Linked DNA regions of Arabidopsis thaliana. The protein of the gene in region 1 interacts with the protein of each later gene in a pairwise test. Each region holds a gene or a part of one and is shown on either strand. Other genes may lie near its edges.

The links. The genes of interacting proteins can lie anywhere in the genome.
Region 2: the proteins of GG1 (region 1) and CNGC17 interact in a protein complementation assay, tested with the Arabidopsis thaliana proteins (one large-scale study listed by BioGRID).

The regions. Positions count from the first base shown.
Region 1 is NC_003074.8:23,411,925-23,422,484, reverse strand, and holds GG1 (Ggamma-subunit 1), read right to left. Parts: upstream 5,237-10,560; 5' UTR 5,223-5,236; coding exon 4,989-5,222; intron 4,478-4,988; coding exon 4,425-4,477; intron 4,285-4,424; coding exon 4,240-4,284; intron 4,165-4,239; coding exon 4,080-4,164; 3' UTR 3,504-4,079; downstream 1-3,503. Other genes in the region: TRM5 (zinc finger CCCH domain protein), read right to left, coding at 284-1,012, 1,083-1,862, 1,958-2,071; APG1 (S-adenosyl-L-methionine-dependent methyltransferases superfamily protein), read left to right, coding at 5,483-6,033, 6,128-6,434, 6,511-6,669; AT3G63400 (Cyclophilin-like peptidyl-prolyl cis-trans isomerase family protein), read right to left, coding at 7,050-7,317, 7,540-7,620, 7,703-8,044, 8,146-8,602, 8,691-8,851, 8,981-9,098, 9,176-9,214, 9,484-9,508 and 3 more; AT3G63390 (uncharacterized protein), read left to right, coding at 10,542-10,560. UniProt on the Arabidopsis thaliana protein: Guanine nucleotide-binding proteins (G proteins) are involved as a modulator or transducer in various transmembrane signaling systems.
Region 2 is NC_003075.7:14,851,626-14,862,185, forward strand, and holds CNGC17 (cyclic nucleotide-gated channel 17), read right to left. Parts: upstream 6,395-10,560; 5' UTR 6,155-6,394; coding exon 6,126-6,154; intron 5,915-6,125; coding exon 5,158-5,914; intron 5,074-5,157; coding exon 4,775-5,073; intron 4,671-4,774; coding exon 4,559-4,670; intron 4,476-4,558; coding exon 4,239-4,475; intron 4,164-4,238; coding exon 3,435-4,163; 3' UTR 3,069-3,434; downstream 1-3,068. Other genes in the region: AT4G30370 (RING/U-box superfamily protein), read right to left, coding at 7,118-7,648; AT4G30380 (Barwin-related endoglucanase), read left to right, coding at 8,861-8,960, 9,092-9,365, 9,458-9,464. UniProt on the Arabidopsis thaliana protein: Probable cyclic nucleotide-gated ion channel. Forms a functional cation-translocating unit with AHAs that is activated by PSKR1/BAK1 and possibly other BAK1/RLK complexes. Required for PSK-induced protoplast expansion.

The sequences.
Region 1 (10,560 bases):
GATAAACGGTCCACTTGAAGCCCATAACACTTTTAAAGTCTTTATTAGTCCGAATACACCACACAAATGAGCAGCAGTTTGATTCAGAAAGAGCAAAAAAAAGAGTGTATGGTTTTAGTCTTTTAGACAACAGGCGCCAAGTCCCAAACTTGATAAATCACACATTTCACACAAAAAAACACACAAAAGAACTATCACTCTCGCATGTTTGGTTAGACATGGTATAGGTCGTAGGTTGGGTTTAGTTTCAGACTTGGGTCAGAGAATTTAGTCTAGTTTTATATCAAAAGAGCAGCCTCCTACGCAGCGAGTCGGACCTGTTAAGAAAAGCCAACTGGCGTATGGTCTCGCCGATGAGATCTTTGAATATGAGGCGTTCGACGTCAAGAACTGCTTCTGACATCTCCACCTGAAAATCTCGCCATCGGTCCTCCGACAAATCTCTTCCGAGGACCCCGCACACGTATCCCACAAGGTCATCTTCCTCCGTGGACGACTTTTTGTCTCTTATCTTCTGAAATTCAGACCAGATCACTTGCATCTTATTATCAGCCTCTCCTACCATCATCCACGGGGGCAAGCTCCTTCTCCGCGCCACAATCTCTTGCACTGCGTCGAAGATGAGGCGTCTTTCCTGAGCTGCGGCTCTGGAGGCGCATTTTCCTTTGAGGTATTGCTGCTTTTCCAGAAAGGAGAAGCTGTCGGACTCTTGTGGAAGGCAATCTGAGGCTCGGAGGATGTCCGAGATGTATACATATTCAGAGTCGGACGATGATAATATTGAGCCACCCCAGGATTCGTCTTCTTCAGCATCAGCAAAGTCAAGGGTGCGTTTCAGGACGGGGGACGGAGAAGAGTCCTCGTGGTAAATTGAGGCGTCAAGAACAGAGACGGGGCTCGGTTGTGAGTCTCCGGCCTCAGCAGCGGCCATTTCAGCAATGCTGTGGAGCAGCTTGTCGCATCTCTCCAATAAGGTTTTGCCTTGTCTGTTATACACATCCACTTTCCACATCTGCTTACAGAATTTGTATTTCATTAGCTGCCTTTTTGATAGATAAAATGTCGAGTAATGAATGAGGTACCTCTTCCTCGGCTAGAGTGCTACTCTGGTCTTCAATCCTCGTCTGGAGAGGTTCTGGTCTCCGCCAAGGGAGTGAAGAGACTCTCCTCTGTTCCTTGAGCGTTGGTCTTGGTCTCCTCCTATTGACGCTCGGGGAAATGCGATCCCGCCTCACTGGTTTGATCGGAGAATGATGGTCGAAGACGAGATTCCTGCTCTGATGTTTGAGTGAAGACGAGTGCAAGAGTCCTTTGAGCCTAAGAGCTTCGAGAAGCTGCTTGAGGGTTTCCAGATCGGTCGGGGGAGCGTCAAATCCACTCATTTTGGAAACTCTCGGGAAGAAATCACCGGAATCAAAGAAACTCTTTCGGCGTACTACTGAGGTTGGGTGGGCTCGGGCGTTCCTAATTGGAGCCGGATCTTGAGCTGCTCCCTTGTCATCGTGAAAGTCAAATATGTAGTCTCTGGTGACCCTGGACTCGGATGCAGATCTCTGGAGAGGCTGTTGGGGAAATGGCTCCAATCCCATGAGCCGTGCGATCACACTGGGTGAGCCGCGCTGGTTCTCAGCCTCAACCGCATCGGCTCGGATCTGTCTGTGTTTGAGGCAGCCCTTGGCATCCACGACGGCTCTGCTATCGAGGGAGAGCCTCGGAGCTTCTTTAGAGAACCTCCAAGGCCTAGAGGAAGAAGAAGAAGAAGAAGAAGATCTTTGTTGAGCCGGCGCAGGAGAGCGTAGCTCAGGGGTAGAGTACACACTCTGCTGATTCGTCCTACCCGAGGCAGATTCAGATTCAGCGCTCTGGAGAAACACAGACATTGTTGTTTTGTTGGTAAGTCAATTCATTGCATCCCTCTAGGAACAGGAGAAGAGGGAAAGAGAGATAGACAAGTTACCGGAGAGGAAGAGAGACGCTTATTAGGAGAGAGGAGACTGGGGCGATCGAAGATGTTGAAGAAGCCGGCCATGCAACCGCCGATTTGCTTCTCCAGATCTTTCTCTTTTGCCATTTTCTTCTGTTGGCTGTTGCTGCTGCACACTCTTCTCCCGCTTCTCTGCTTCTTTAAAGCACCCACTCCCTTACTCTAGTCTAAAGGATACTCCTCCTAACGTGCTTTTTTTTTCTTTTTTAAATACACTCTGACAACTCTGCATTCAATTTCCTTTTTTTTATTTATTTGTGTTTTTTCCTATCTGCTTGTTTTAGGAGTAATTTTGATTTTTGAGTTAATAATGGCTAAGTTTGAGTCCTAATAAATAAGTAAAGATCAAACCCCGCATATTTATTATCTTTACTTACCCAGCCCGTACTACTTACTTCTTCTTCTAGTCAATACATTATTTACTTACTCTAGTTCAGAGTTTACGATTCAATTCTGAATTCTTGTTTCAAGAGGAAAGAAAAATGCCACGTGGAAAAAATATGGAACGGAAGATGAGGAGATATGGACCCCGCTGTTGACCGACATCGACGTGGCAGTTTCAAAGTTGGGAATGCCATCATAAAGTAATGACCACCGTTGATACGCTCTCTTTCTATCTATTCCCAAGGCAGCTCTCTCCCTCTTCTCTCTTCTCTCTCTGCCTCTGCTTTCCGTTACGGTTGCACTTATCGGCCAGTTCAAGATTCTAATTAAGTTATTGCGTTTTGCATTGTTTATTTCATTCGTTTCCCATATGAAAACGTGAATGTGAAGAAGATACGTTACCACATTCTACTAGTGTTTTAGGGACATGGGACTTTCGTTTTTATGAGTTTCATAAAAACGGACCACTTCACTTACTCGAGATTTACAACTTTAACGGCTAACTTACTTATCCTAGTCATTCTCTTTATTTAATCACCCAACCAATGTATTGTATTCTATTGCCACGAAAAAAAAAAGCAAGGCGGGAACAGAGAAAAAGGGTTTGGCATTATGTGAGCATGTGAGTGAGGCTATAATGCATGTTTCAATGTTCAGGTTTCATCACGAGGTGAATTGTTTGAATCCCCAATATTTCTGTACTCTCTCTGACCAGATATGCTGCAGATGTTGTAACGTGCTTCTTCCGGCTGCTCAATCATTTTTCTTTTGGACCAACTCACATCTCTGTGTTAATTTCTCTTCTGTTTATATAACAAATTCATACTACAAACTTTGATCAATTTTTTTTTATTTATGGGAGAAGAAGGAGCTCTAATGAGGTCATCAACTTTGATCTTGACCAATGAGGCAATGAAAACAGATGACATACTACTGTATATCCAAAGGTTGTCAGAAAACCCACCTTACCAGTATTTGTTTACTCATCACAAATTTGAGGAATATTTTGGAATGCATAAACTATCTTTTTAGCTGTCGAATAAACTTACCGTAAATCACTTCTACTAATACCCTCTACATTTCTCAATTTTTTTTTTAAACCTCATAACTTGTTTTAATTTTTGAGACATAGAAAGAAAAAAACAAAAGGGGGTTCTACTTTAACAGACTGTAATAATACAGAAGTGGAGGAGAAGAGTAATAAGTAATAATAAAAAGACAACAGATGAGGCATGTGCTCTGTGTTCCATTATCGTTCTATCTATATAATAAACATAGGTATGTATGTATTCTGATCCTCGAAACTAGCGTGTGTGTATCATGGAGGGTGGATGTGGCCAAAAGTTATCTAAAAAGAAAAAAGAGAGACACACTTAACGGTCTTCAAGATTGTACCCACTTCCTCATTAGCTATTACTCTATTAGCCCCCAAATATCACTATGCACATTTCAGCTTCTTTCAACAAGATCTAGAATAAGAAGATGAGAAGCTGTAAGCCTGAAACTCCATTACTCGTATGTCAGATCCGGATCCCATACATTACATATACATATAATACTGTTTACGTAGGTGCAACTAAGCCGTTCTATGCAATTCCAATGCTCATTAATCTGTACGCTTTTTCTCTGCTACAGCCCCATTTTGGATCCCATGTAAAATGATATCCTAGCAAGAAACTAGTATATGTAACACATTACTCTGTCTAGCGAATCAAAGTATTAAGCATCTGCAGCCTTCTCCTCCATTTGGTCCTTCAAACCACCGGTCCCATCCTAAGTTCAAAGGTCCATTGGTTCTGCCAGCACCACAACATCCATCAGTTATTCAGTCCAAACCAACACTAGAGTTTCAAGGTTTAAAAAGCACTCACAGTGGCAACAGAGGATCGGGTCCTTTCTCGATGACAGATAGCAGCCTGCGAACCAAGGGAATATCAATTTGATCACCAATCAACGTACAAGTTTCAGTCAAATCCAGATAATATACCTACAGGAGCTAGCACACAGTTGCTTGCAAGCGTTAAAAAAAAACATAGGTTGAGTATCCCATACTTACTCCTCACACACGGTTGATACAATATCTGTGTTCTCGACCTCCTTCAACTCTTTCTGGATATAGTACATGAAACAGAAAGAGAGAGTAAAGCTATTTTTAGTAAGTGTTAGAGCTCACTAGTAGGAACAATAGGCAAACACATTATCTGTGCAACAGAGAAACTTGGGAGAAGGTTAACTTTTAACATGCCTCGATAGATGATAACCAAGAGAGAATGATACTAATTGGACTATGATCAAAAGTATTCTTGCACATCCCTAAGAATAAGATCAACAGAGAACCATTCCAATAGTGGATCCAAAGAGAACCCAGCAGATTTAGATTTTGGGAATACAATTCATAGAGTCATAAACAAGACTGACTGAAATGGTGCCACTTATTGTCAAGAGAACTACCATGCTCTTCTGATTGGAACAGATCTGCCATACTGGTTTTTGCTTTCACAGGAAACAATCTTAGCGACCTTTACCTAATTGTTGTAACAATTGATCTAAAAAGGATAATTGAGCTATCCACGAGAGACCTACGTCGGAATTTGAAAGAGATACGAGTTAGTTTAGCTACCTCCAAGAAAGCGACTTCCTGTTCAACGCGGGCAAGCTCTGCAAGGATCCTGTGCTTGCCCCCGCCGTGAGAAACAGACTCCTCCTGCTCGTAAACCACAGTTTCCTCTCGCATCCTCTCGCTAGCAGGTCGCAGATCTGACAACGTCAGAGAGAGTCTGGTCTTAGTCCGTACAAGTTTGAATTGTCGTCGAAGTCTCTCTCTCTCTGACTCAAATCGACTTTTCCCTTCCATTTGCAGAAAAATGCCAAAACGCCCAATACTATTATTTGGGCCAATTCTTGCAAATGAGCCCATGGGCTCAACAAAGGGATATGTGTTGTCGCAACAAACAACGTGACCGTACATAAACATGTGGTTGGAGTCAGTACTGACTCTGTTAGAGTTAGAGGGTTTAGTCACACTCTCATTCTCGTTTGTGTTTTTGATTGGCGGAGAATTGGTGATAGATAAGCTTCTTCTTCCCTCTTCTCAACTTGGTGGATCTGTCATCGATGGCCTCTTTGATGCTCAACGGGGCCATTACCTTCCCCAAAGGTTTAGGTTCCCCTGGTTCCAATTTGCATGCCAGATCGATTCCTCGGCCGACCTTACTCTCAGTTACCCGAACCTCCACACCTAGACTCTCGGTGGCTACTAGATGCAGCAGCAGCAGCGTGTCGTCTTCCCGGCCATCGGCGCAACCTAGGTTCATTCAGCACAAGAAGGAGGCTTACTGGTTCTACAGGTTCTTATCCATCGTATACGACCATGTCATCAATCCTGGGCATTGGACCGAGGATATGAGAGACGACGCTCTTGAGCCAGCGGATCTCAGCCATCCGGACATGCGAGTGGTCGATGTCGGCGGCGGAACTGGTTTCACTACTCTGGGCATAGTCAAGACAGTGAAGGCCAAGAATGTGACCATTCTGGACCAGTCGCCACATCAGCTGGCCAAAGCAAAGCAAAAGGAGCCGTTGAAAGAATGCAAGATCGTCGAGGGAGATGCTGAGGATCTTCCTTTTCCAACCGATTATGCTGACAGATACGTTTCTGCTGGAAGGTATCCTTTTCTTCTTCTTCTTCTTCTTCTTCTTCTTCTTCTTATAATCGTCTTCTTTCCGGTGGGTTTGATTGTGTGTCTCATCATCACACAGCATTGAGTACTGGCCGGACCCGCAGAGGGGAATAAGGGAAGCGTACAGGGTTCTCAAGATCGGTGGCAAAGCGTGTCTCATCGGCCCTGTCTACCCAACCTTCTGGCTCTCTCGCTTCTTTTCTGATGTCTGGATGCTCTTCCCCAAGGAGGAAGAGTACATTGAGTGGTTCAAGAATGCCGGTTTCAAGGACGTTCAGCTCAAGAGGATTGGCCCCAAGTGGTACCGTGGTGTTCGCAGGCACGGCCTTATCATGGGATGTTCTGTCACTGGTGTTAAACCTGCCTCCGGTGACTCTCCTCTCCAGGTCTTTTACCTCCCACTTCACCTTTTTTACTTTCTTCTCTCTTTGATACACTAAACTTATCACTCAAATGCTGCAGCTTGGTCCAAAGGAAGAGGACGTAGAGAAGCCTGTCAACAACCCCTTCTCCTTCTTGGGACGCTTCCTCCTGGGAACTCTAGCAGCTGCCTGGTTTGTGTTAATCCCTATCTACATGTGGATCAAGGATCAGATCGTTCCCAAAGACCAACCCATCTGATCCTTCTCTTCTAGGACATGATCATTGTATCATTGTAAACCCCTCTTGTGGTAAAGAAAGATTCGAGTCCTATCTATGAACATGCGGAATATCATTAACCTTCTTTCTTTACATGTATTACTAGATTTTCATGTTGAGATATCTATGCTACTTGTTCGATAAATTTTCTACAAACTTCGATTCCCAAACTCAATTCTGCCAACATATATCAGTCTCAATTTGATCAATGTTCCACGATCTGTAATAATGCAACTAAGGTAGAGTATTATATATCCGACCAACATAAAAAATATCATTACCTATTATTGCTTGCACTAAAACACGGAAATTAAAACAAAAACTCGCAAGTCAGCAGAGAAACCAATGGATGAGAGTGACCATCAATCCGCATAGCTAACCAGACCTCTCTTTCCTGGTGGAGAAGGTGAGTGAGAAGGGCTGAGTGATTCTGCAGGAGAGGTGCGTCCTCCTCTGATGGGGGATCTCTGTGGCCCGAGACGGGATTTCAGGTCTTGGCTAATTGGCTGCCTCTTTCTAGGGCTCTGGCTACGGCTACGATGCCTCGGACTCTGGCTCCTGCTTCCGTCTCTCAATCGTCTACGGTACCCATCTGGACTCCGAGAAGTGCTCCTTCTCCTCCGGTTGTACCTATGCAAGACAACACTCAATTTCAGAGGACATCCAACATTGCTATAAAGTTGCTCTTTTCAACTTTCAGCATTCAATTAGAATGTTTTGCTTAACCAAAATAATATCACAAAAAGGGTCGTTCTAGGATATAAATCTAATGCAAGTGGCTCTAGGTGCTGGTTTACAAGCTATATCGTCCCAAGCCAAAGCCAGAATCTGTACAGAGATAAGAAAGCGAACCTTGGAGGGCTCCTTCTTCTGGGTGGGCTTCTAAAGCGTCCCCTCGGTGAGCGCTCAGAGTAACTTCTGTTGCTCGGATACCTACATAATTAAACAAAATGAGGCTTTAGTACTATCCGCAGAGCTATCGTCCTTTGTTGTATGTATGTATAGATTAAGTTACCTATCCCTGTTCCTATCCTGAAAGTTTCTTCTGTCAGGCCAATGTCTAGGAGGAGAACGCTCAGGAGAAGGAGTATGGTACTTCCGAGCAAAGGAATAGCGTTCGGTGAACCCACGCCCCTTTCGGATGCGCTTGGGCACACCACTTGGAGATGGGCTTCTGAAAGATTTCCCCACAGTTTCCTCTGTTGGCTTCTCACGAGGACTTCTGCTTCCATTTCCAAGATCTCTCACAGGGCTCCTACTAGGACTTCTGTTTCCATTTCCAAGAACTCTCACAGGGCTCCTACTAGGACTTTTGCTCCTGCTGTTTTGGTTTCTCCTACGAATTGGGCTCCTGCTCCTGTATAGCAATAGAAAATGGCAAAGTTTGTCAGTGACCACAAAATCAGACCACCAAATTGCAGAAGCAAAGCTGAAATACATAAAGCCAGGGAGATAAACCTTGATTTCACTGAGTCATCCAAGTTGGCGTGTTGATCAGCGTTATCAACTTTCACTGACTTTATGGCTTTGTGGCCCACTTTCTCATCATCAGAACTGCTGCTACTCTCCGTGTCACTTGAACTATTCGTGCTTGGTTTTCTATCTGGCCGAGCTTTCTTTTTCCCGCTTCGTCCTTTACTCTTTCTTTCCCCGCGTCGGCCTTTGTGTCTTGTTGTTGACTTCCTCTTCCTATGCTTCCCATCACTGGAAGAACTAGACTCATAGGAGGAAGATGAATATGCTTCTGATTCCGAATCTGAATCTGAGTCGGAACTTGAGCTATATGAATCTGACGAAGAGTATCTTCTTTTTCGTTTTATCCTTTTCTCGTTAGATTCTTTTTTGCGTGTCTCCTTAGCTTCACGGTCAGATACGTCACCAGGAGAAAAGTTCTTGTTTGATTTTTTCGATTTCCCTAATAAACATTAAATATATCTGCATCATTATTCTAGAAACTCCATCATTATTATAGAAACTCCACATTCAAAGATTAACTTCATTACCTTTTTCTCTTTCAGCAGCATCATGTGCTCTTATCTGAGACGTTTCACCACAGTCTATTATTTTGACTGGGCTAGTAGGTTTCCCATCACTCGTCCCCACAAGTTCCATTTTCTTGATTACTGCCATCCCTTCAACGACTTTGCCAAATACAACATGCTTCCTACAATATGAGGATAAGGAAAATCAGGACCCTTAACATGCTTCCTTCCAAATGCATTAAACGTTTTGAGAGTCCTTTACAATGAACTTTGAATTTCTCAAAACAACAAAATCTAGGAACAGAGATTACCCATCAAGATGTGGTTGGCGTTTAAAAAGTATAAAAAATTGGGACCCGTTGGTATTTGGGCCACAATTTGCCATTGAAAGGACTCCAGCTCCATCATGGTCCAATCTAAAGTTCTCATCTGTAAAAGGATAACGGGATATTGAGAAAAAAAAAATCAATACCAGAAAGCCGTAAACAGAGAAACCAAAATTATACCTGAAAACTTCCCACCATAGATGCTCTCCCCACCAGTGCCTGCAAATCAACCAGAGAGATTATCTCTAATTAAGGCATTACAGCAAGAAAGACTTCATCCAGAAGTTGTCTCAGAGATGAAAAAGGGACCCCAATACGCTTTTCCCTAGTAACCAATTTCATTCTATAAACATATATACTAAGCTCCTTGTGTGTTAATTAAACTAAAAACTAGATCATGAGGTATCTACATCACACATATTGTGATATAAAGAAATATATACGGTTTGGAGATTTAATGTATAAAGGATAACAGGTTTGAAGAATACCATTCCCATTGGAAAAATCACCACCCTGCAAGAAAGAGAAGCGCTAATGAATAAAGAGTTTGCGAACCATCAAATGCATACAAAAACAAATTATATGTCAGTGAAGGACATTACAGGGTTGCAAAAGAATAATGCATACATACCTGAGCCATGAATCCTTTGATAACCCGATGGAAAGATGATCCTTTGAAATGTAGAGGCTTCCCAGTGGACTTTCCAACGCCCGCCTCACCTGCACAAAGGAAAAAACATCATAACAATAAAATGTAAAGCCCATAATCTTATCAAAGCATTCTGGAGAGATTAAATGGCAGAAAGTGTTATGAGGAAGCCCAAGGTACCTGTGCAGAGGGCACGGAAGTTTTCCGCTGTCTTGGGGACAACATCAGCAAAAAGCTGCCATTGACAGATGAAAAAAAACTTAAGAAGCTGAATGCGGAAAGCAAAGCAAAAAATGCAAAGGTTGAGGTAATACCTCAATGACAATCCGTTGAACGGGATCCCCACCAATTGATACATCCAAGAAAACATTAGGATTCTTCTTTTTAGTCATTGCTGCAGTGCAGATGATGTGCTAAATTACAAGGAGAAATACAAGATACAAGGTGATTCAAATAAGCACAGAAAATCCTAAACATCGAAAAGCAAATGGACACCCAGATCGATTGAAACCAAAGTTATAATAACAGATCGATCAAACTTCTAAAACCCTAAACCCCAAAATAAACATGAAAAAAAGTAGAAGAGAAAGAAGAATGATGAGTCCTCCCTCTGTAATAAGGTCAAAGGAAACAGAAGCAGGAAAGAAGCGATGTCAAGATGCTCGGAGATACCTGCTTACTCTACTTGGCGGATCGAGCCGGAGACGGAGATATGAAACGAGTAGCGGCAGCAATAGTTCTCGAGAGGATATATCAAGTAGAATAATCTAGTCCAGTCGGTTAGTAGTAGTATCGTTATACTAATTATGTTTTGGATCCCCCAAACTTAATTAATTAAATAAATATAGGTGGATGGCCTCAATCAAAAGCCCGATGGGCCTTTGAAGAGAAATTGAAATGATGGAAGATGACGATG
Region 2 (10,560 bases), on another chromosome or scaffold:
CATTTATATGTCATCTTTTATTCGAGTTTTTTTAGCTAACGGTTTAAATTCATTCGAAAGAAGCTGGAGTAAAGGGAATTATTCGTGCTAAATCAAAGTAGTGATTAGTGTTACTAATACTATGAAGATTGATGGTGAATGTTTTTAACAAAAAGGTTGTTTGATACATGTACTTACTTGATAGCCAATTCAAGGAACCTCGTGCATGTGTTTTTTTCGTAATTTTGTATAGTTCCGGTGGAGCTGTTCCACTATGTATGATGTTTCTAATCACTTTATTAGTATATCTATATATTTATACACAACAAATTTGGACATGGTGTGGTCTTATAGACTATAGTTATAAAATTTTAAACATGAAAGCTAATTATCATCTCATAGCTTGTATTCTCTAAACCACCATAGCTCATATTCTTTCGTTTTTGGGTCAACACTCAACAGCTTGTATTCTCTAAACCACCATAGTTTTTAGAATTTTAGGTTTTATTTATTGTATAATCTCTGCTCTCTTTTTTTAATAGAAATCAACACACCAGAAAAATAATGACATGCACATTTAGTCACGTTTTAAATTGATCTACGCCATCTATATCTACCAATTTTGTTTTGTCCAGTGTTATCGGATTTGAAGCATCTAGATTTTAAAGTCAACCTTTTTGATATAATTCATAGACTTCATATTAGGATCTTGAATAACATCTTGATATTTGGGGTTTTAATTTCACTGGAAATTAGTCGTCTTTGAGTGTCAATTTGGTCAATACGCGATTTAGAGAAATGGGAGATCAAAACAAAGTTGAAAACCACCAAACCGGTTTGACCAAAACATGTTTCAAAATTCAAAATGTAAAGCGATCGGACCACACGTAGTGATCACTCCTTTTGTGCTCTTGGGGTCATACTTTGAATTTATCATTTATGATGACCATTGTTTCAAAGCTTCAACCTACAAATCGGTCAACTACCGATAATAAATTTAAACCTAACTAAACGTATGATAACAATAAACGACTACGACATTTGGTCTAGTGATCTATACTATACATGACGCCATGGCTTTTCAAGTTCAATTTAGACTGCTAGATCGAATTTAAATTACATTGATTCGATCGGTACATCTTCAAGTTAATCATATGTCATCACGAATTATTTTTTACCCTTTTTCAGTGTAGCGAGTTTCTTTAATAGCTAATATGATAGGAGTATTCACATTCTCTTTCATATATATAAGTGGATTCATATGCATTGGACATTAATATCTAAATCTACCACTTAACAACTACATGCATGCCTAGTGAATTCACATGGTCCATATGCCTACGTATATATATATATATATATATATATGTTTTTAATGAAATTTTCAATATTGTAGTGGCTGCATAGTACATCTAAATCTAATTGATGAAAGACAATTTTCGACACAGTAAATAATTTCGAGATTTTAAGTACATGTCTTTATTTGTTTGAAAGTCTTCTAGACGACTTATTAAGTATACAATTTTTTTTTTGATATATATTTTGAATTACTGAAACAAGTTGATGCAATAGTCGTGTTTTATTTTTGGCTTTTACAGGTCGTATAACTCCGGTTCTCTGCTAGACACTTGAAGACAAAGCCTCCAAAACTGCCTTTTACTTCCTTCGCCTTTTTAGATATTACATACTATTAGTAATATTCTATGAGTGGAAGATAAGGCTGAAGTTTTGTGGTACTTTGTTTATACATAACTAAAAGCATCTCCAATTCTTTTCAAGTATTAAAAAATACGGATTTGTTTGAAATAAAGCAACTGATAACCTAATTATTGACAACAAATTATTAAGGGGATATAGTTTAATATTATTTTGAAATAAAGGATTTTTGCCAAAGAGAAGCACTAGAACAAGGAGAAGACAAACCAAAACATGCCTTTATATCATTCAATTATTTAGTTATATAAATGGACCTTATGGTCTCTCTCTTTCTATCTTTTTGGTGGATTTGCATTATGCCTCCTCACTTAGTTAAATATTTTTTCTTACTTAAATATATCCTGTCAAAAGTGAGAAAGATTAAGCTATTGGACACTATAGTAGTTGAAAATTCTTAAATATTAAATTAGATTCAATTTATCTCACAGAAAGATTCATCATACACCATGCCAATACTTGATCTTGAAGTGACAAAAAGAAACTCATAATATCATCAATGTGAGAGTGTAATTGAATAGTCTTCAAGTGGAAAATAAAATAATGTAGCAAATGCTGCAACTTTACTCAAAGACCTATTTCCTGTTTAATATATATTCTAGCCTTTTCTCTTTTAATTATTGTAATTATAGGCATGAAAAGGATGTGAAGATAATGATTTACGAATATAAGTATGTATTAAATTATGTTATAACTAAAAGGGGTCGCGGATCTCAACCTTACATGATTGAAACCTAATGTTGAATTTGAGCTTTTTGGAAAGGGGACATGAACTTAACTTCTCTAGTGAGCAACTACACACTATAAGGTACAACTACTATGTCATCTCTTAATATATGCATGCATGTTTAAAAATTTCACATATTAATAAACGATTCAAAATATTAATATATGTTACTATAATTATGATTGTTGAAAACCATTGTTTTCATGATTCAGTTTCCGTTCAATCTAACTTCTTGTGCCATACTATATTGTTATTGTCATTCAAGACCATAAAATTTATTTGTATATTATATGGGACAAGAAATTTTCAGAAACTTTTCAATATGTTAGTTTAAAATATTTACAACTTTTTAAATCGACTAAGAATCCATGATTACATTGAGCTGGTCTTGTGGCCATATTGCAAAAAGAAAAATCCCAAATATGTATGTAATCCTGTAATGTAGATTATGATTTGATCCGACATATCTAGGTCAGTAGAGAAAGCAAGTAAACATTTTAACTTTTTCCCATGGACCAAAGTCCAAACTCATCATTAGTATGATCTTATGTCTATTGATTAAGTGAGTCTACCTTTCTTTAAAAAGAAGCTTGTGTCGATAGCAATATGCAACATGCTCAAGAAAATATATTTTTTCTTTCTTTACCATCTTATTCTCAACGTTACAGTAAGTCAGTAACCACGGCATATAGGGGCTTTGACGAATGGGCTTAGACATCTTTTTACTTCCTTGTTGGTTCAATCAATTTTGCAAGGTTTGATGTGATTTGTACATAATCCACTTCAACTTCCTCATCTTTACATTTAGAGAATTTAGAAACGAGTTCTTTAATAGTACAACAAAACTAATTCTCCAAGCTTATATTACAAAAGATGTTTAAGTGTACAAACCAAAACCCGCCTTGAGTTTCTTTCTTTATGTCTCCCAAAGGAACAGGAAACTTACTCTGTAGTGTTCTTGTCATTAAGATCTTCTATGGAACAAAGTCAGCTTCTTCTCCTGGTTATACATCAGTCAATCATCATGCTCAGCAGAGAAATCAGGCTCCTCGGGTTTCTTAAACCGGGGTAATTCTACATCCTTAACTCTCTGAGCTGCAACACCGCGTCTTGTATTAGCTGCAAAACGCGATGCCAAAACCATAACTCCAAGGTTCATCTTTGTTCTAGGACTCTCCTCAACACACTCTTCTTCTTCTACTACTACTAATTCTTCTCCTACTTCTCCTTCTTCATTTTCCATTGATTCAATCGCAGTGAGGTTATTCTCCATAACTCTTCTCTTGTACCTGCGCCAAGCCGCTTGTATGAAGCAAGCAGCCCAAGTTCTCCAATGGTGAGAGTAGAATCTGAATGTATGTTGAAGCTTCTTGCTGTGTAACCGCCTAAACTGATTTGCAACAAATTTCAAATCTTCAGCTCGAAGAGCGAATGCTTCGACTTCAACTAAAGCCCTAACTGTTCTTGTAGAAGATGGTAAATTCAAGGTTGATTTTGGAAGCAAAGCCCAAGAAAGAAGCTCTTCCCCACAGAAATCTCCAGGTCTAAGTATAATCGAGTTGAAGAAACCGGTTCTGCCTCCATTGGTTGTGGAACTCTCGAGTCTACCTCTGATGATGAAGAGCATCTCTGAGATCAAGTCACCTTCACGTACAAGGTAAGTCCCTTCAGTACACAGAGAAGAAACCAGGCGCTCACATATCGCATCAAGCAGCTGATCATCCATTTGAGAGAAAAATGGGACCTGCATGATTCAAGATAGTAGTTAACCTAAAAGTTGAACCATTTGTAGGATAAACAAATCAATAGAAAAACTTACTCTTCGAACAAGATCTAAACATAGGTGACGTTGAATATCACGGCGAAGATCAGTGGGTAAACTTTGCAGGAGAACCTCTTCATCGACTCCTCTTGTTGCAAGCCACTTATACTGCTCATATCGCCTCACACGGTTTCTCAACTCTTCAGGAAGTTGACGATGTCTCATCCACTCCTCAGTGTCTCTCTTCTTCAATCTCCATTCCTCAAGCCGTACAGTCAAAGATTGCAGATATGTCTAACAAACAAAAGGCAAAACCCAAGAAACATAAGAACAAAAGCAGATACTTTTAGAACTTATCCTAACGCAGGAATCCATACCTGCATATTCCCAATGAGATGGGCAAAGAGGACAAGACCAAAGATTGCAATGAGAACAGCAAATGTGGTTTCGCCCATGAACATGGTCGTGGACAAATTCTGTCCATAAGAACTAGAATATGACAATAACAGGAAAATGTCATCAGATTCTAAAACTTGTAATCAAAAGGAGAGTAATAATTGGTATCAAAAAATTTCTATGATCTCTGCCATTACCTAAGCTGCTGCAATCCCCACCACAAACAGTAGAAATATCTCTCGAAGAACTGTGAAGACACAACGTTTTTCGTGATTGCATTCCCAAAGATCCCATACTTGAACTCGCCATTCCGTGCATCACAGAGTTTAAACACTTTTGTGACATTTGCCCAAGTCATCTGATTATTGTCATACATTGAATCACAGTCTAAGTAATATAGCTGACAATTAACTTGGCCAGCTTCACCATTGCATCTTGATTTCCAGCACGATGTATATCTATCAACCGATAATATATACCAGGCTGCACCAAGCACCTGTCCCAACAAAAACATTGTAGCTTTGATTATCATCACATTTAAGGAATGAAATAATGGAAGAAGAAGGAATGGGATTCATACATGACTAGCCAGCATGTATAGCAAAAGATTATAAGCAGCTCCAGCCCAAGCAGTCTTTGTAACAACTCCAGTTGCTTTAACAATTTGAGAACTTAACGGAATTATCAAATAGAATCTTGGGATGTATTGGAGGAGCACAATCAAAGCAATAGCATTGTTGTTATGATCAAACCGGTAACTTTTTGTAGTCGATATAACAAACCAGATAACTATCTGTGGAAGTGGTAACGTCGCAATGAGATCGATGATGAAGTCAGATTTAATATACCTCCAAGCAATAGCCTTAGGATCCATCACAAGCTCACCTCTACCAAACACTCTAGTACTTGAATTAGGCGCAATGAAACCAGTCCTAAACTTAATGAAAATGTGCAGCAAGTAGAAAAGATCCGCTATTGTCCTGAAGAAAGTAACAAGGATGCTTAAACTTGTATCAGTCCTTGCACAAGGATAGTTTTTATCTCCTCCTATAGCTGGGACAAAGAAGTACAACGGGTCGATGAAGAGAGCAACCATACATGAGACAATGAAGACCCAATTCCATTTCAAGACAATCTCACTTCCTGGATCAAGAATAGTCTTGTACCATGAGACTTTAGAAGATTTGGACTTAGAAGCATCAGTGTATCTAAGTCTATTTCCAGGTAAGAGATTATCAGGTCTTAGTGCTGAAGGTAAAGAGAGCTTATAAGATTTGCTCATTGGATCATTCACTGCCCATTTAGCTTCTTTGCTTTCTTTCCCCTCTGAGTAAAACCTACAAAGCAATACACAACTCAAATCTGTAATCTGAAACCTAACTAGAGATTTAAGTTAAACCCAGTACCCAAAATCGGAGCTTGAGCTTGTAACATCTAAAGAAGAGATAAATCTAAAGCAAAGTCTAGAATTTTTAATTTCTGGGCAATCAAAGTTGAAGACTTTCAGGAACGTAAGTCTAACCGACGGATGAGAGAAAGAAAACTTACATAAGAAGCTTGTCCTTCCTTAACTCCATTAGAAGAAGCTCAAGCTCAAGCTCGAGTAAACAAATCTATGCAAATTAGAATTAACAGAAGCTTTTAAAAATCATTTCTTTGATTCGTGTCTCTGACACTCTCTCACTCTTACTCTCTCTAAATCTGAGAAAGATCGTGTTTTTGTTTAGTTCTTCCGGAGAGGATTGGAAGAGGAGAATCACTGAGTCACGGGACGAGTCAGAAATCGGAGGGATATTTGTTTTTTTTTCTTGGGAATACTTGAGCCATCGGTATAAGACAAGAAAGTCAACACATTTGACTAAAGTGACATTATTTCGTTAATCAAAGTCATTATTAGTTTACAATACAAAACACTAATTAGACAATGTTACTTGTTACTTCACAAAAACACTTCTTTAGTCTTATAGTCAGATCCAATCACAATCACTTTCTCCGTGTGAGTCACAATCTCACATTCCAATCAGAAAACGATTCTTTAGCCTCCTTTATTTTTATGTTCAATATAAACTTTTGAATCACACACTTGAAAACATAGTTGACATAACTTTGGAGGTGAAGTAGGTAAATTAAAATCACATGAACCAAGCTTTACTTAGAACTTATACTTCATCATGGACAAATTGAAACAGAAACATTGATGATTAACCACTGAATCTCAAGTGAAATTATGAGAAATCATTAAGGTAACATAAGCAACATGTTTAAAGTGACAAATGGACAACATTTCTATCAGTAATTGACTAGATTGAATTTAATAATTGGCATGATAATCAAACCTCAAACTAAGTTAAATTCTACAGAAACCCATCATTCTCTTATTGGATCAAATTCATCAAACGGTGAAGAAACAAGCTTTCAATTGTGAAGCCGTGTAAAAAAAAAAAAAAGACACTGTACATGACTATTGATGAAAACCAAAATTGCTGCTAAATATGATAACAAACTAAACACACTTTCAAATCTAATTATAAAACCACCGATCAAAAAATTTCACCTTGTGGTCTCCATCTTCTTCCTTCTTCAAATCTATAAACCCTATCCCTACAAATCGGACAAGTCGAGACTTTAATCAACCACAAGTCCACACACTTTCGGTGAAACACATGTCCACATCGAGGCAGCTTCCGACACCACTGTCCTTGTCTAAATCCATCGATACAAACAACACAATCATCGCCTCCGTACTCTGAACTAGGCTCACAATACTTGAATTGAGGAAGCCTCTTCACGCATCTTGGAGATAACCCATCTGAGTATTCGTGACGGCGATGGCGGCGGAGACGGTGGCGATAGTTTCGTTGAAGAAACCAGTAGAAAGCGAAGAAGAAGGTGAAACCGAGAGACGTGAGGATAAAGATAAAAGCGGTTATAGCTACAGGGATCATGATTAGACCTATGAGGAAGTTAGAGAGAATCTTCGTCGGTAGATTCTTCGTGTTCGCTTTTGGCGGCGGTGGAGACGGTGATGGCTCGCGGGAGATTGAGCCATCGTAGGGAATCGTTATCGACATCGACTTGCGGCGGAGATTAAAAATATTCTCTTTTACGAATCAAACTCTAATACTCTGTTTTAGGGCTAAATAAAGGAGAGATTTTTATGGATTTTGAAGATCGAAAATTTATCGGATTCAAAGTATATTGTACAAAAGAGTTTGTCTGATAGATATTTATATGCGGGAATATTCGGACATCTTTTTTATATCAGTTTTTGACGATAACTTTTTAACTAGTTTTGGCCCTTATGAGAGGAACTCGTGAGCAAAGTCTTTTTTTTTATATACCAAATTTTTCATTAAATTGATTAAATTTAACTAGAAAGAAGAAGATTAAGCGTATATAAACACAAATACACAGACACGTTTTAAAACAATGGGGTTCTGATAAATTATGTTACTAAATTTTGATCATACAGAATGTAGTTTGGCGTTACAAGAAAACTAGAGGAGAAAACAAAGGGCGAAACCAGACTTCATTTAAGGATAAAGTATTGGTGATGAGATTATATAAAATAGGGTTCAGTTTTGGGTTCCAATTATTATCTCTGTCCTCTGAGCTTCCTATCTGGTAATGCCGAGTGGGAAGTGATAAGGACAATCCGACAAGGGCAGCTTCCTCGGTAACTCCATTCCTTATGTCACCATACCTACCTTTACATTCAGAAATTCTTTGCATCATTTTTAATATTATCTCGTTGTTTCTCACGTTTTATTCCGGTTCATTTTGCGGTTATGATCCGGTTATCTTCGTGGTTGAGCTTGGTTTAGAATAATGTCTCTTATCGTCTCGTTCGGCCCATTAACGCTCGCCTCATAACTGTTCCATATGTACTAGTCCATAAATATTGATTTCACTACATTTAGGACCTATAAAAGGAGAGTTTTTTTCCTTTTGATGAATTGTTTTTATGAGATTGTTCATATAAATTTACGTGGCAAATTTGATCAGCGTAGTTAGTAAACGTTTTCTGGAGTCTTTGGCTGTAAATTTGCTATCAAATGAGGATAACAATCTTTCTAAACCTTTAGTCAACACAGATAAGAAGAAATTAAATATAACAAATTTACAACTATACACATGTTAAAAAATGGGAACAGTCAAAGATATTTCAATGGCAAACAATTACAATACATGCATATTTAGAGTTAGTCATATAATATATAGCAGATATATAAATAGATATGTCACATTTCAAAGATAAACACTCTTACAAATAAATACGAATCATGAGTAAAAGTATTGTGTTTTTTTCTACCGTTCTTGTTTTTCTCTTCTCTTTCTCATATGCAACTCCCGGGATTGCAACTTTTTACACAAGTTACACTCGTAAGAATTTTTGTGTGTTTTACTACCAAAATTATAAAACAAATACAAACAACAAACTTATCTTATACATTTTCATATCAACCTACAGCGAAATGTTATAAAATCATTTTCTTTTATTTCATGTTTGATAGCATCAGCATGTTACAGAGGTACTCAAGAAGGAGTGATGATCGCTGCAGCGAGTGATACATTATGGGACAATGGTCGAGTTTGTGGCAAAATGTTCACCGTGAAATGCAGCGGACCTCGTAACGCCGTGCCTCACCCTTGCACGGGGAAATCCGTGAAGGTCAAGATCGTTGACCATTGTCCCAGTGGCTGTGCTTCTACGCTCGATCTTTCTCGAGAAGCTTTTGCTCAGATCGCTAATCCTGTCGCTGGGATTATTAACATTGATTATTTTCCGTAATTATTTCTCCCAATCTTTATCACTTAATATTCTTTGTTACTTTAGAAAAGCAGGATTTTAATTATGAGTTTGTTTATTTGGATTTCAGGGCCTAAACGTCGATGAAGCTATCAAGGAAAATAATGCTCAAGTCTAGAAAGTCCTAATGGAAAATGTACACACATCATGACTTTTGTATAGTATTTCAAAATATGAATAAAATCGTCGAGAGCTTACACAGAATAAGATAACCAATCAAAGTAAACTACCATGATAAGAAATACTTACTGATTTCTATTATTTTGATTCTCATTTTGAAAACAAAATATAATAACCATACTTGGTTTTTACATGTAACATAATCTGAAAATGACAGACATATGTGCAATTGAAAATTGGTACAACCATTTTCTTCACATCATCGAATTCGGATATGCAGAAAAAGTGCTTGTGACAAGTTATTTGATGGTTTAATTCCGGTGACAATTTATGTACACTCACATATACCAAATAATGGTTTGCAGGTAAGAGTTTTGCCGAAATTAGCCTGCTCTAACTTGGAGATTGAGTGAACACTCTAAATCATTAGGTATGAAAACGTGAGACTGCGACTCTGGTTATTCCAAAATGTATAAATCGAAGGTTTGATCTCAACAAATGATAGAAATATCATCGCACCTTGATGAATTCTTCCTATATATAATATGGTTCAGACTTCAGAGCCTTGTAACAACTAAAAATGACAATATGGTCACTACTATATCCCAAACTACTAAGCACAATTCAACAAAAACCTGAACCCCTACTAATTGATGGCTACTTCGATGAATCCAAGAATTCATCGGCTGCCAAGAAAAACCAACCCTGAAAGAAACCGAACTAACTCGAGCCAAATTACTCGATATTTATATAGTAAGAGGAAAAATGGACTTGGTGGAATTCAGATAACCACGCTATCAAAAGTAGAAACTTATAACAGAACTCTGCAGCAAACAAGAAGCTTCTATGATTGCATAAAACTTCATAAGAACGGAAGAAAGAAGAAGCTTATATATAATTTGACCGCCTTCGTTTCATATTTACACACAAAGAGAAGAAAAATACAGACTTCAATCTGGTAATGTATCTCTGCAGTTGTTCACATTGTTTTTTCTACCTAAATGATCCGAATACTGCAATCAGGAACTGACCTTTAAACACATAGGACCAAGT